Linked DNA regions of Neodiprion lecontei. The protein of the gene in region 1 binds, or shares a complex with, the protein of each later gene. Links are inferred from orthologs where the notes say so. Each region holds a gene or a part of one and is shown on either strand. Other genes may lie near its edges.

The links. Proteins that work in one complex are often made in the same cells at the same time.
Region 2: exosome complex component RRP45 (region 1) and exosome complex component RRP4 share a complex: the UniProt entries of both Homo sapiens proteins name them as parts of the RNA exosome core complex. The link is inferred for Neodiprion lecontei from reciprocal best matches to the Homo sapiens genes EXOSC9 and EXOSC2.

The regions. Positions count from the first base shown.
Region 1 is NC_060265.1:3,640,984-3,646,824, forward strand, and holds exosome complex component RRP45, read left to right. Parts: upstream 1-1,767; 5' UTR 1,768-2,062; coding exon 2,063-2,128; intron 2,129-2,338; coding exon 2,339-2,433; intron 2,434-2,499; coding exon 2,500-2,722; intron 2,723-2,840; coding exon 2,841-3,058; intron 3,059-3,140; coding exon 3,141-3,368; intron 3,369-3,474; coding exon 3,475-3,608; intron 3,609-3,784; coding exon 3,785-3,867; intron 3,868-4,060; coding exon 4,061-4,187; intron 4,188-4,438; coding exon 4,439-4,500; 3' UTR 4,501-5,262; downstream 5,263-5,841. Other genes in the region: histone deacetylase complex subunit SAP30 homolog, read right to left, coding at 5,595-5,723, 5,839-5,841. UniProt on the Homo sapiens protein: Non-catalytic component of the RNA exosome complex which has 3'->5' exoribonuclease activity and participates in a multitude of cellular RNA processing and degradation events.
Region 2 is NC_060261.1:25,394,923-25,400,132, reverse strand, and holds the start of exosome complex component RRP4, read left to right. Parts: upstream 1-2,132; 5' UTR 2,133-2,258; exon of another isoform or gene 2,259-2,372; 5' UTR 2,373-2,403; coding exon 2,404-2,537; intron 2,538-2,580; exon of another isoform or gene 2,581-2,833; intron 2,834-3,559; coding exon 3,560-3,800; intron 3,801-5,172; coding exon 5,173-5,210. Other genes in the region: T-complex protein 1 subunit zeta, read right to left, coding at 593-729. UniProt on the Homo sapiens protein: Non-catalytic component of the RNA exosome complex which has 3'->5' exoribonuclease activity and participates in a multitude of cellular RNA processing and degradation events.

The DNA.
Region 1 (5,841 bases):
CCACTGCCGATTGTAGATTTGAATAGATGCATGAAAACGGCTGCATCTCTGTAATCAGATCTCCTCCTAGATCGAGATTACAGCTTTGGGGGACGAGAAATTTTTCAATTTTGCCATCATTAGTTTCACAATAATAATTATCTTTCGTGCTGCTGCAATAAATATTTCAGACTTACACGCGCGGTGTCTTCGAAGCGTGTAACAAGCCATGCAAACGTTTGTGTCTTATACCCTGGAGAAAATTTCTACAACTACGAATTTTTACGCAAGTCGGAACATTTCGTATCATTTCTCGACGAATTGTTAATTTTCGTTAACAATTGTAGTAGCTTGTAAATTCTTTTATTGAAAGAAATACAAATTTTCATGGTAAAATTGACGAGTTTTCTTGAGAACCTATGCACATGTACAATTTTGTAGGAATACAATTTTTTGCACAAAATTGTACGAAATTTCCGAACATCCCTAACAATTTGAAGAAAAACGTTATAGAAATCATTTTCACCAGCGTAGCGTATGCACATTACGGGCTACAGGAAGTACAACGTACTCACGAATTTAAATTTTCCTGGGATCGATGTAAAAAAGGATCATATTCGTCCTCTTCGACTTGTGCTGATCTACCCTCTGACTCTCCGTGCTTTAAACCTCCCGAAGGCTTAGCTGGTTTTTCAATACGCTCGCTCATTGTCAGTTGACTAATCTATCTGGCTAGATATTCATTCGCGATATTTGTCGGTATAGAATAATTTCAGCAAATACCCACATTTGTATCATAGAATTGATTGTAAAGTATTTAAACAATTTTAAAAGGTTATATACATCACCCGATGTCAAGTGTCCCATATGTTTGTCAGAAGCAAAAAAAGCATTCTACGTACCAAACAATTGATGGGTGACAACACACACCTGGAAAAACTGGAAATGCCAGGGTATTTTAAAAGGGATCATTAAAAAACCTAGAATTTTCAGGGGATTTTTAATTTGGTCATGGAAAATACTGAAAATATCAGTTTTCCATCATGGGAATAAGAAATGATTTTTTGAGGTAACAAGTTTTACTTTTTTTCGTCGAGATAACAAATTGGCTTAAATTCCCTTTTTTGTAGATCATATTTTTCTTCAATTCGAATTGAATTTAAACCGAATAATAATAATAAATAAACCTGGATAATCTCGAAGAGAAAACCTAATCGTGAAACAGTTGTCATAAATAAAACGCTGGTGGAAACGTTTGTTGCACCCAACGTATAACCTCGGAGCCTCGGTAGCGCAGTAGGCAGCGCGTAAGTCTCATAATCTTAAGGTCGTGAGTTCGATCCTCACCCGGGGCATTATTTTTTTACTCTTCCAAAAGCAGTAATTGACAATGAAACACCTCCATTCTGTGAGCTATTCTACATTCCATCATTTTTTATTTGGTGTATTGCGAATGGATTCTCGATGTCAATTAACGCCAGGTAATGTCAAGTTCATCACGTCTGCCTTTCAGACCGGACGCTGATCGACATCAAGCATCCAAGTGTTTCTTGGTATTGAGCAAAAAAATTCTTTCTCTGAGGTTGCATCCGTTGTTATTTTATAAAAATATTGATATCCTAGTTTTATTTTAGTTGAGTTTAGTTAAGAATCGTCTTCACGATGCAATCTGAGGTACGCGAATCCTACGCATGTAAATTCAACTCCTGCTCAAGCGTTGGCAATAAAAATAAGAGACTGGTTATAAATCAATCGAATGCAATTTTTTCTTTCATCTAATCGTGAGTGCGTTGACTGAAGATATACCATTCCTCTTTGGTTCAACCCTTATATTCGGGGGGCAATATTATCGCTCTGCACTTGCCGCCCCGTTTTACAGAATCCCAGTGTAAAATCACGTCTGTGAAACAGAATACTGTAATTTCCTCCGACCTACTAACCGTGGAGTAAAGTCCATACGGTTCGCATTCTTTATTGGTTTGAATTTCGAACGAGTCGAAGATAAGATACGATTTGTTGTTATACATTTACAAAGAAATTAAAATAAATTGTGTGAAAGCGTTCGCAAATAAATTTATACAGAATGAGGGAAACGCCGTTATCAAATTGTGAACGAAATTTTATAAATAGAGCAATAGCCGAAGACACGGTAAGTCAGAATTGTACTATTCATAACCTCTTGTTACAGCACGTTTTTTTTTCTACTTATTGTTGGTCTTGACTTTATAAAGTGTACGTATTTCAAACCTATATCAATATTGATTCTACCCGTATATCCTCCACGGTTAGAACAAAATTATTGCTACGTTAACTAGTTTCTAACCTATCATTAATGGGTTTTCCTAATTATCTTATTCAGCGTTTAGATGGACGACAATTATTGGAAGCTCGACCAGTGGAAATCCATTTTGGAGCAAACTGGGGCTGTTGTCACGTAGCTTTGGGTGAAACTAAGTAAGGCGTTACATCTTATGTTACTGCTTAAAAATTCATATTTGTCACTGGCTGTACATTTTTCAGAGCAATTGCCCAAGTATCCTGTGATATTCAGCAGCCAAAGGCATCGCGTCCAAATGAAGGCATGCTTCATATCAACGTTGAGTTCAATCCTATAGCTGCCCCACACTTTGAAGCAGGCAGACAATCTGAACTTGCAATGCAAGTCAACAGGCAGTTGGAAAAATGCTTTAAAGATTCTAGATGCGTCGACTTGGAGTCTCTCTGCATTGTAGCAGATGAGAAGGTGATTTTAATGCGGCCGAATTAACTCGAAAAGAATATTTTTGCATCAATTGCTTTGCGCTAAGTTCTTTGATTAGTGCAATGTGAGAATGCTGCATAGTTAGTAATGATTTACGTAGGTATGGAACCTGCGGGTAGATGTCAACATTCTCAATCACGACGGCAACCTTGTCGATTGCGCTTCAATCGCTATACTAGCTGCACTGACACATTTTCACAGACCGGATGTCACTACCACTGGTGATTCAATAACTATCCATTCGTTTGCCGAGAAAGATCCGCTCCCGCTAACGTTACATCACTATCCAGTATGCGTTTCGTTTATTGTCTTTGAAAGGTGAAGAGAGAATTTGTTAATTTACAATCAAATAGTCATTTCTCAGTTTACTTCAAGCTAAAAGCATTTTAATCTTTTTCAGTGGCCAAATCGTTATGGATCCTACTTACATGGAAGAGAGAGTAGGTGCATCGCAATTAACCCTAGGATTAAACTCTTACAGAGAGCTCTGCAGCTTGCAGCTCTGCTATTTGGGCAAGACATCTGTGACGGCTGATGTGGTGCCGAGCATTTCGCCCCATGCAGCTAATTATGCTAACAAATTAGTTACGCAGATTAGAAAAGCAGCACAGCAAGATGTTGAAGCAAAGTAGGTTGGCTTCATTTCAAGAGTTCAAAAGCGTTTCTGCATCCGGAATGTAAATCTTGGTAAGAACTTGTACCGGCCAACAATTGTAATATTTATACAATTTCAGGTACAACAAAGAAGATCGCGATGTATGTCGATTGAAGGAATGCATTACATTCGGAAAATTGACGGCAATGACAAAACCTAAGCTCAGTATTAAACTTGCGCACTGGGTTGCTGGGAAAAGCAGCCCCAAAAGTGGTGAGATTAGTGGCCTAGTTTGCATTAATGATGTTTACTATAGCTTGGCAATCAAAATTCATAAGAGATCAGTGGTTGGAGTAAATATCAAAAATTCCCACTCTTTGAAAATTTGTAATATCGCATTTGCTGTTATTTATATTATAATTTGGGGTTTTGTAAAATTTCGTTTTCAGATATGGAGACCAGTGATTTCCAAGATGAGGATGACAATATTAAAACACTTGGGCATGGATCTGCTGAGCTCATTACTAATATGGTACACATTTTCTTGTATTCGTTGTCAATGACAAAATTAGCATACTTCAATCTTAGTTATTCAAACGAGTTGACCTGATATAAATATTTAGTTTAAAGTGCTGAACTTAAATTTTTACCAAGTTCAATCATCTAATTTCGCACTGTATAATTTTCGTGACTCGAAACTATTCGTGTTATTACTTTTGTAACAGAGTAAATCAGTCGGAGAGGGAGGCCCCAATACTTGGCAGGCATCTGAAGAATCCTCTGATGATGAAATCGAAGATATTGAAATCTTACAGGAAACGAAACTAGAGAAAAAAGTGTTGGACGATATAGGTAACCTTTTCTGTTATTTGCCAAATTTAAAATACCCAATAACTTTTCTAGATTTAGTTTGGAATATACTCAAAAGCTTTCCAGGTCGAGCATTTTATACGATTACATTCAGTGACTTCATTTTTTTCCCCTAATAACGATAAAACTTTTTTGTCAAGTACTTTAGACAAGTTCAGTTTCGGAAATTTTACACAGCATACGTAACTACTTATTAATAATTCATAAACACTTCAAAAGCAATACTTTTACAGATTTAGGTGGTGACAGCGAAGAGGAAGATACTGTAACCGTCAGCAAAAATGATATCATGTAGTTTAATAGAAAAATGATCCCAAACATTTCTTGCATTCATTTCCACACGACAATTTCTCTCATTCCCCGTTTCAAAACATGCATTTATAAATTTATCAGAGTACAAAGCTTGTGATGATACATCAATTAAAATTATGAAGAATTTGTGATGTGAACTGTTTGCTCTGTACACCATTTTTATTCTATATTTTATTTCACAATCAGCGAACTTAAATTGTGTAAAGACATACCGAAAATGAAGAACTTTTTGCGAAAGGGAGTGAAAAAGCAACACGATTTTTTTATATAAAAATGTATCTGGGTCGAATAAGGTACACCATAAATCTTATCTGCAAATATTTTTAGGTACTATGTAGGGGAGCGGCGGGCAAAATGGGTCCCCTAAGGGGAAATAACATTAGAACAGTTTCGATAGCGCTATTTTTTTCGTCTTTAGCCTAAGCCTACATTTCAAGCGTTATCGAAAATTTTTTAAATCTCATTTGAATGTACAGAGAGCCCATTTGGCTGCCTCTCCTCTATAAAGTTCATCCGTATTCCCATCTAAATTCAATATCACCAAACATTTTCCCTTAATTCGTCGATACTATTGCACTTCGCGTTAGTTGATTTATTCCCTGAGAGAATTTACACTGAATTGTTCAAGTAAATCGAATTGATGTTTGAAAAAAAAGGCAGAAGCACGATATTCCGTTGTGAACAACGATTTTGAAAAGTAAACCATTTTTTTTAGTTCCATATATGGATACGTTCAATTCATGTATAATTTACAAAAAAATTAATTTCGAAATCAGCTCAATTGTATAGAATTAAAGTGGATAAATTATTATTCCGTATAACGAATTTTTTTTACTTAGTTTGAAAAGTGGATATTTATATTCTTAGAAATAAATTAAAAATACATTGATATATAATATAATAATCTCAATCATAAGAATTGAGGGAAAATAAATATCACATTTAGATTTAAATATTTTCATAATGTTTCTAGGGCTATCAATCTATCTTAGTTTTGTGTCGAAAGCAATCTATTCGATATACCTTGCCATACGATTTCCAATGTAAGTGTAGAGGACACCGAGTGACAAGTCCATGTTACGTAGGTTCACTGGTCAATCCATTCTTCTGATCTAACTTATTAGCATTAGTCTTAACAGTGAATATGAAGAATGTGAGAGCTTCTTTTTCCACGACAGGAATTGTCTTGAAATGTTTCATGAGCGTCTGTAACATTGCAAAGCAAAATAAGCATTAGTTGACATTCGTAGTCTTTCTCCGCATCCATCTATAGCTGGTTGTATGATTTTTCAAGATGATAAATAATGGAAATTCAATTTACATC
Region 2 (5,210 bases), on another chromosome or scaffold:
TTTCAGGTAGTGATAGGGCTTATAATAGATCTTGTGAATGGAGTAAGAAAAGTTCGGAAAATTAATGGAAACACTAAAATATTTGCAGCTAGTCTACATTTGATTTCAGGTTATTGGATTTAAAGTGCACGCTGCTGCAGCTGAATCAGATATTTTTTTCATTTTATCATAGATTTTCTGAACTTTTCTCACTCGATCCACAAGTCTATTTCTATTATCATAAGTTTGAAGACATTTCAGCACTCGGATAAAGTAATAATTATAAAATACAATTTGCCTTTACAACTACTCAATAATAGGTCTGAACAACATTTATCACTATTTTCGGCGTTTAAAACCAAAATCAGTATAAGGCCTCTATGGGTGTACGTGTATATAAGTGGATGTAATCATTGTGGATGACCTTATATGGACATAAATTTTGATACGTTAATTGGCTACAATACATGAGCTTGGATTTTATGATTGAGAACGGAATGAAGGCTCATTGTAACAGATAGAGCAAATTATTATTTTGGCGATTGAGACAGCGCCGACGAATTGACATAGGTTGGTGGTTTGTGTGATCACATGTGCGGCGAAATCGACTTACATCTTCATAGTCCCTTTCGGTCCCAGGTTTGTTCTCATCACATCTTGGATGCCTTTTGCTGCCGATATATTAACAGCCAGAGCTTGAGCCGCTCGTGCAAACTCAGCTTTCGGGTTTAGGAGACTAATCGCTGCCATTTCTTTATTATTCTTATAATAAATAACGTAAGATAATCGTAACGCCGCGAATACACCCGCTTCGAGAAACAACTGCAGTGCCTTTTAGATCAGAAAACTTTCAATTAATGAATGTGAGTAATCCACGGTATAAGAATAAGAGGTGGTCCGACTGCCTCATACTCCCTGTGTTGAGCTCTGTGATTATTATGTCTTAGTACGACGGAAATCCGCCAGGGACCTCATGCGTCGGTAAGGATGAGCAAGGTCCCTAGATTAGGAAGGTCAAGACACGTTTGTTCCAGTTTTTCTCACTATAACGTGGGAAAAAATGTTCTATGCACGTTCGCCCAAAAAACATCAAACTTACATTACCGCATTAACCAGTTTTGACCAATCTTGTTCAATGTTTTGAGGTTAAGCATTAACGAGTTGCGCCCCTAGTGTCCTGACGTTCACGAAATAAATAGAAGCACGTATATATTTTGAGGTTAATCATTGTGACAGGTCAGAAATCAGAACCACACCAAGTGCTTTCAATTTAGAGCACAGTGTGACACAGCGTACAAATTTCTATTGTAAGCGGCCAATCCGGGCAAAGGAATAGACCAGAAATGTTTACACCGTGTCATATTGTGCTCAAACTGGAAAGCATCCATTGTCATACGAAACTTTTGGCGCATTCTCACTAATTTTTTTTTTTGCCCACACTTGTCTTGACCTGTCTAATCTAGGGACCTTGGCAACACCATAGACTTATAAAAATAGACTGAGCGCTCCTATAAAAGGCACTGACAATTACATATAAAGGACAAAGATATACCAGGAGTACTGCTCTCTCTTTTCAATCGGCCTCATGGTGGGAGACAACGGGGCAGTGGAACAGCTACAGATATAGGCGCATAATTTCGCCTCATTCTCCTCTACCGCCTCTATCCCCGCCAGAAATATCGTCAGAGAGAGAAAGGAGTACTCCCGGCATATTTCTGTCCTTCAAATGTTTGATTCAAGCGGCTCACAAGAGCGCTCGCTCTATCTTTATAAATCTATGGGCAACACAGAGAAACCTACAGCGCCACAGTCGGTCGAATGCGAAAGTGTACCTACCTATGAATATAATGGTTGCTTTCCATTTACTGACTCAAATCGACTCGTGTCGCTATTTCTGGTGTAACCGGCCAATCTGGGCAAAGGAATACACCAGAAATAGCGACACAAGTCGACTTGAGTTAGTAAATGGAAAGCACCCAATGGATCCAGCTCCCATTTTAAAGTGTACTTTTGTAGAGTTAGGCCCGGTCCACAACCTCCACACCTTGACATTAAAACCGAGTTTACCGCTTTAACCTGGTTGAACCGAAGGTTATAAACCAACAACCTATCGCAGCGCCGGCATTGCTTGTTACGCTGCCCCTGATGGCTGGCAACATAAATAAGCATATATACTTGTTATATACCTCTATGAATTTGGCAACAACAGCTTATTTTGTTTTGCAATTCAGCGCGTATCTCCAGCCTATCCTGCAGTACCAATAGTGAGCTAGTACAAAGTATGAAAGTATTACAATCAGTTGTTTTAATTTTAAATTGTCCATACGATTTGAAAAACTTTATTAACCGTCATAAGAATCCGCAATAATTAAACAGTGTGTTTCTTCTACAAGAATACTTGAGGATACAGTACATAACCTGAAAATGAATGATGAAGACATGATCCGCGTGCGGCTGGCAGTTCATCGCACAAATACGAATTTATCTAACGGTGACCATGGGATGCCCAGATATTATACACCCGGTGAAGAGGTGTGTAGTCAGCCTGACTTCATGAGGTACATCATAATCCATCTTATCCAATGAGCTCTTCTATCTCCCTAGTGGCTATTACCTATTGAGGAATGTGCTAAATCCGCTTATACCTATTTTCCCGCTTTTTCCAATAATACTCCTTACACAGTCCAACCAGATCCCGTGTGACGCATCACCCAATAAACGAGTGAAGATTAAATCCATTTTAATTGATCAATAGAAAATCCAAAAAATAAAATTGCAATTGTTATAAAAGCTTGGATTACTAGTTGAATCCGTTCCAACCGTAGTTTCTGTACCAATAAAGGCTGGTTATCAGGTATCAGGTATCATTACAGTTATAGTCATTGGAATCTATTAAATACAAGTAGAGTGTAGGTCAAAATATATGAGCAATTATATTTCAGAATTCGGAATCTTGTCATAGATTGAATTGGAGTTATAGCAATTTGAATTTCCACAATAAAGATCGATACGAAAACCATCAACGCACTAATGCTATTCACTGATTAACATGGATTTAACCTGTTGCAGTAATTAAACAGAAATAAATGGATTGAACTTGATTTGACAATGACGTATCAAACTGCATTTCAAGTGAATTTAAAAGTGTACAAAACAATCAAATGAAAATGGATAGAGATGTGATTATACAGTATAAATTGAATTGAGTCTTAATGATATTATGATCGTAATAAAAAAGAAATTAAATCAAAACCGTAGGCAATTATTCAAAACTATAAAATGATTGATTTAGTTTAACCTTTGTATCATGCCATCAGTTTTCTTCTGAAAATCGGGGTTTACAGCCATCAAAACAAATCTGTTTCAAAACGGTCTAATATACCTTTTATTTTTTTTTATTTTCTGGGTAAAGCAAAATCACTGAGCTTGATTGGATGAATGAATGTCTGCAGAGTGTTATGCATGAAAGTTCTTAATCCTATTTAAATTCAAGCTATATCACCAATTATGTACAAAGAGGACTCATGATTTGAAATTCATTAACTTTGAATTCAATTCTGTGTATTGTAATGTTATAAAGAGGTCATGGGACATACATGGATGACAATGACACGCTGCGCGCATCCGTCGCTGGTGTGCTAGAAAAAGTGAATAAACTGATATCTGTGAAACCTTTGAAGGCACGATACCAAGGTGAAATTGGAGATGTAATTGTCGGCCGAATTACAGAGCTTCAGCAAAAACGCTGGAAGGTTGATACTAACTCAAAATTGGATTCGGCCCTACTTTTATCCAGTGTCAATCTTCCTGGTGGAGAATTGGTAGGTTTGATTACCCCATCAATTTTCTCTACAATCTCCATGCAAAACAAGATTAGTGTTTTTTTTACAACGAAGTTCAATTTAGTAACAATGTTATTACAATACTGAAAAGTAATCACTGTTGTGCAGCACTAGGTTGCCTTACTGCCTTATTAAAATTTTTTGTTTTCCGAACAATCCCAATTTTGTGAAATAACGTGATTTCTCAGACATATGTTGTTACATCAACGTTACAAACCATATTTCGAATATTACTCTGAACTTGAGATGTTTCTAAGAACGAGTGTTTACCTATATGTGATTTACTGCACTTAAGGTCATGTAGTACTTCTATCTTTACTGACCGAGCAAACTCACCCTTTTTATCCCTATATTAAATACACAGACGAACGAAAAGGGTTTAAATTTTGACGGTGCATCTTTTCTTATGTATATCCCGAAAATCATGAAAAAAAAGTATGGTTTCTTGACATGTGTAACTATTGACATTGACGATTTTCGCGATATGAGTAATTTTCCTGAATGCCGCTACAAAAGAGCGATACATCATCGAAATTTGAACCCTTTCCGTTTTTTTGTTTTTTTAATATAGAAAAAAAAAGGGTGAATTTGTTCCGTCGGTAAAGGTAGTATTACAAGACCTTAAGGTTAAATGGGCCTTACTGTCTCAATGATAATTGGAAAAGCGAAAATTCCGTTCGAAAAATCACCTACTATGTTATATGCACCAATGATGGTGAACACGGATGAAGCAACATCCTAACTGAGTAATAGTAATAAGGATGAAGTTGGTAAAGTTATTGCAACGATGCGTGGTCGGGAAAAATCGTTACTTCGCATCTTCAGGATTGTTTAAAATTTAGTAAACCATAATAAACAAAACCTATTCATATCTTGAAAAGCCAACTCGTTGAAAATCATTCTTAAATTGAACAATATAATTATTTTTTCCCTGCTTTTTGATTACGGTAACGTTACTAACTTCAGCTTCGTTAATAGTAATAGTTGGAAGTAAATTTGATTAACACAAGCTGAAATATCAATAATATGAGAAAAAGTTTAATATTTAAAACATTCAGAATGATTGAACTCTGGTGCTTGGTGATTCTAATTTAATGTTCTGACCTTATTTTGTTGATTTTGAAGATTTCTGGAATGTTTACCAGACAATTTGCAAGGGTGGTCTAGTCAGTGAACAAAATGAATCCAAAATCTTTAGATTCGGACATTTGTGTTCACTATCATTGACGCAAACAACACTGCTGGAAATTTTTTTAACGGTTCTTTTCTCTATTTCCAACTTCTCACTTAAGGAGTACGGCACATTCATTCCTATGTAGAATGTCTGTCATTATTCAAAAATACCTTTCAGAGGCGGAGATCAGCAGAGGATGAACAAACGATGCGACG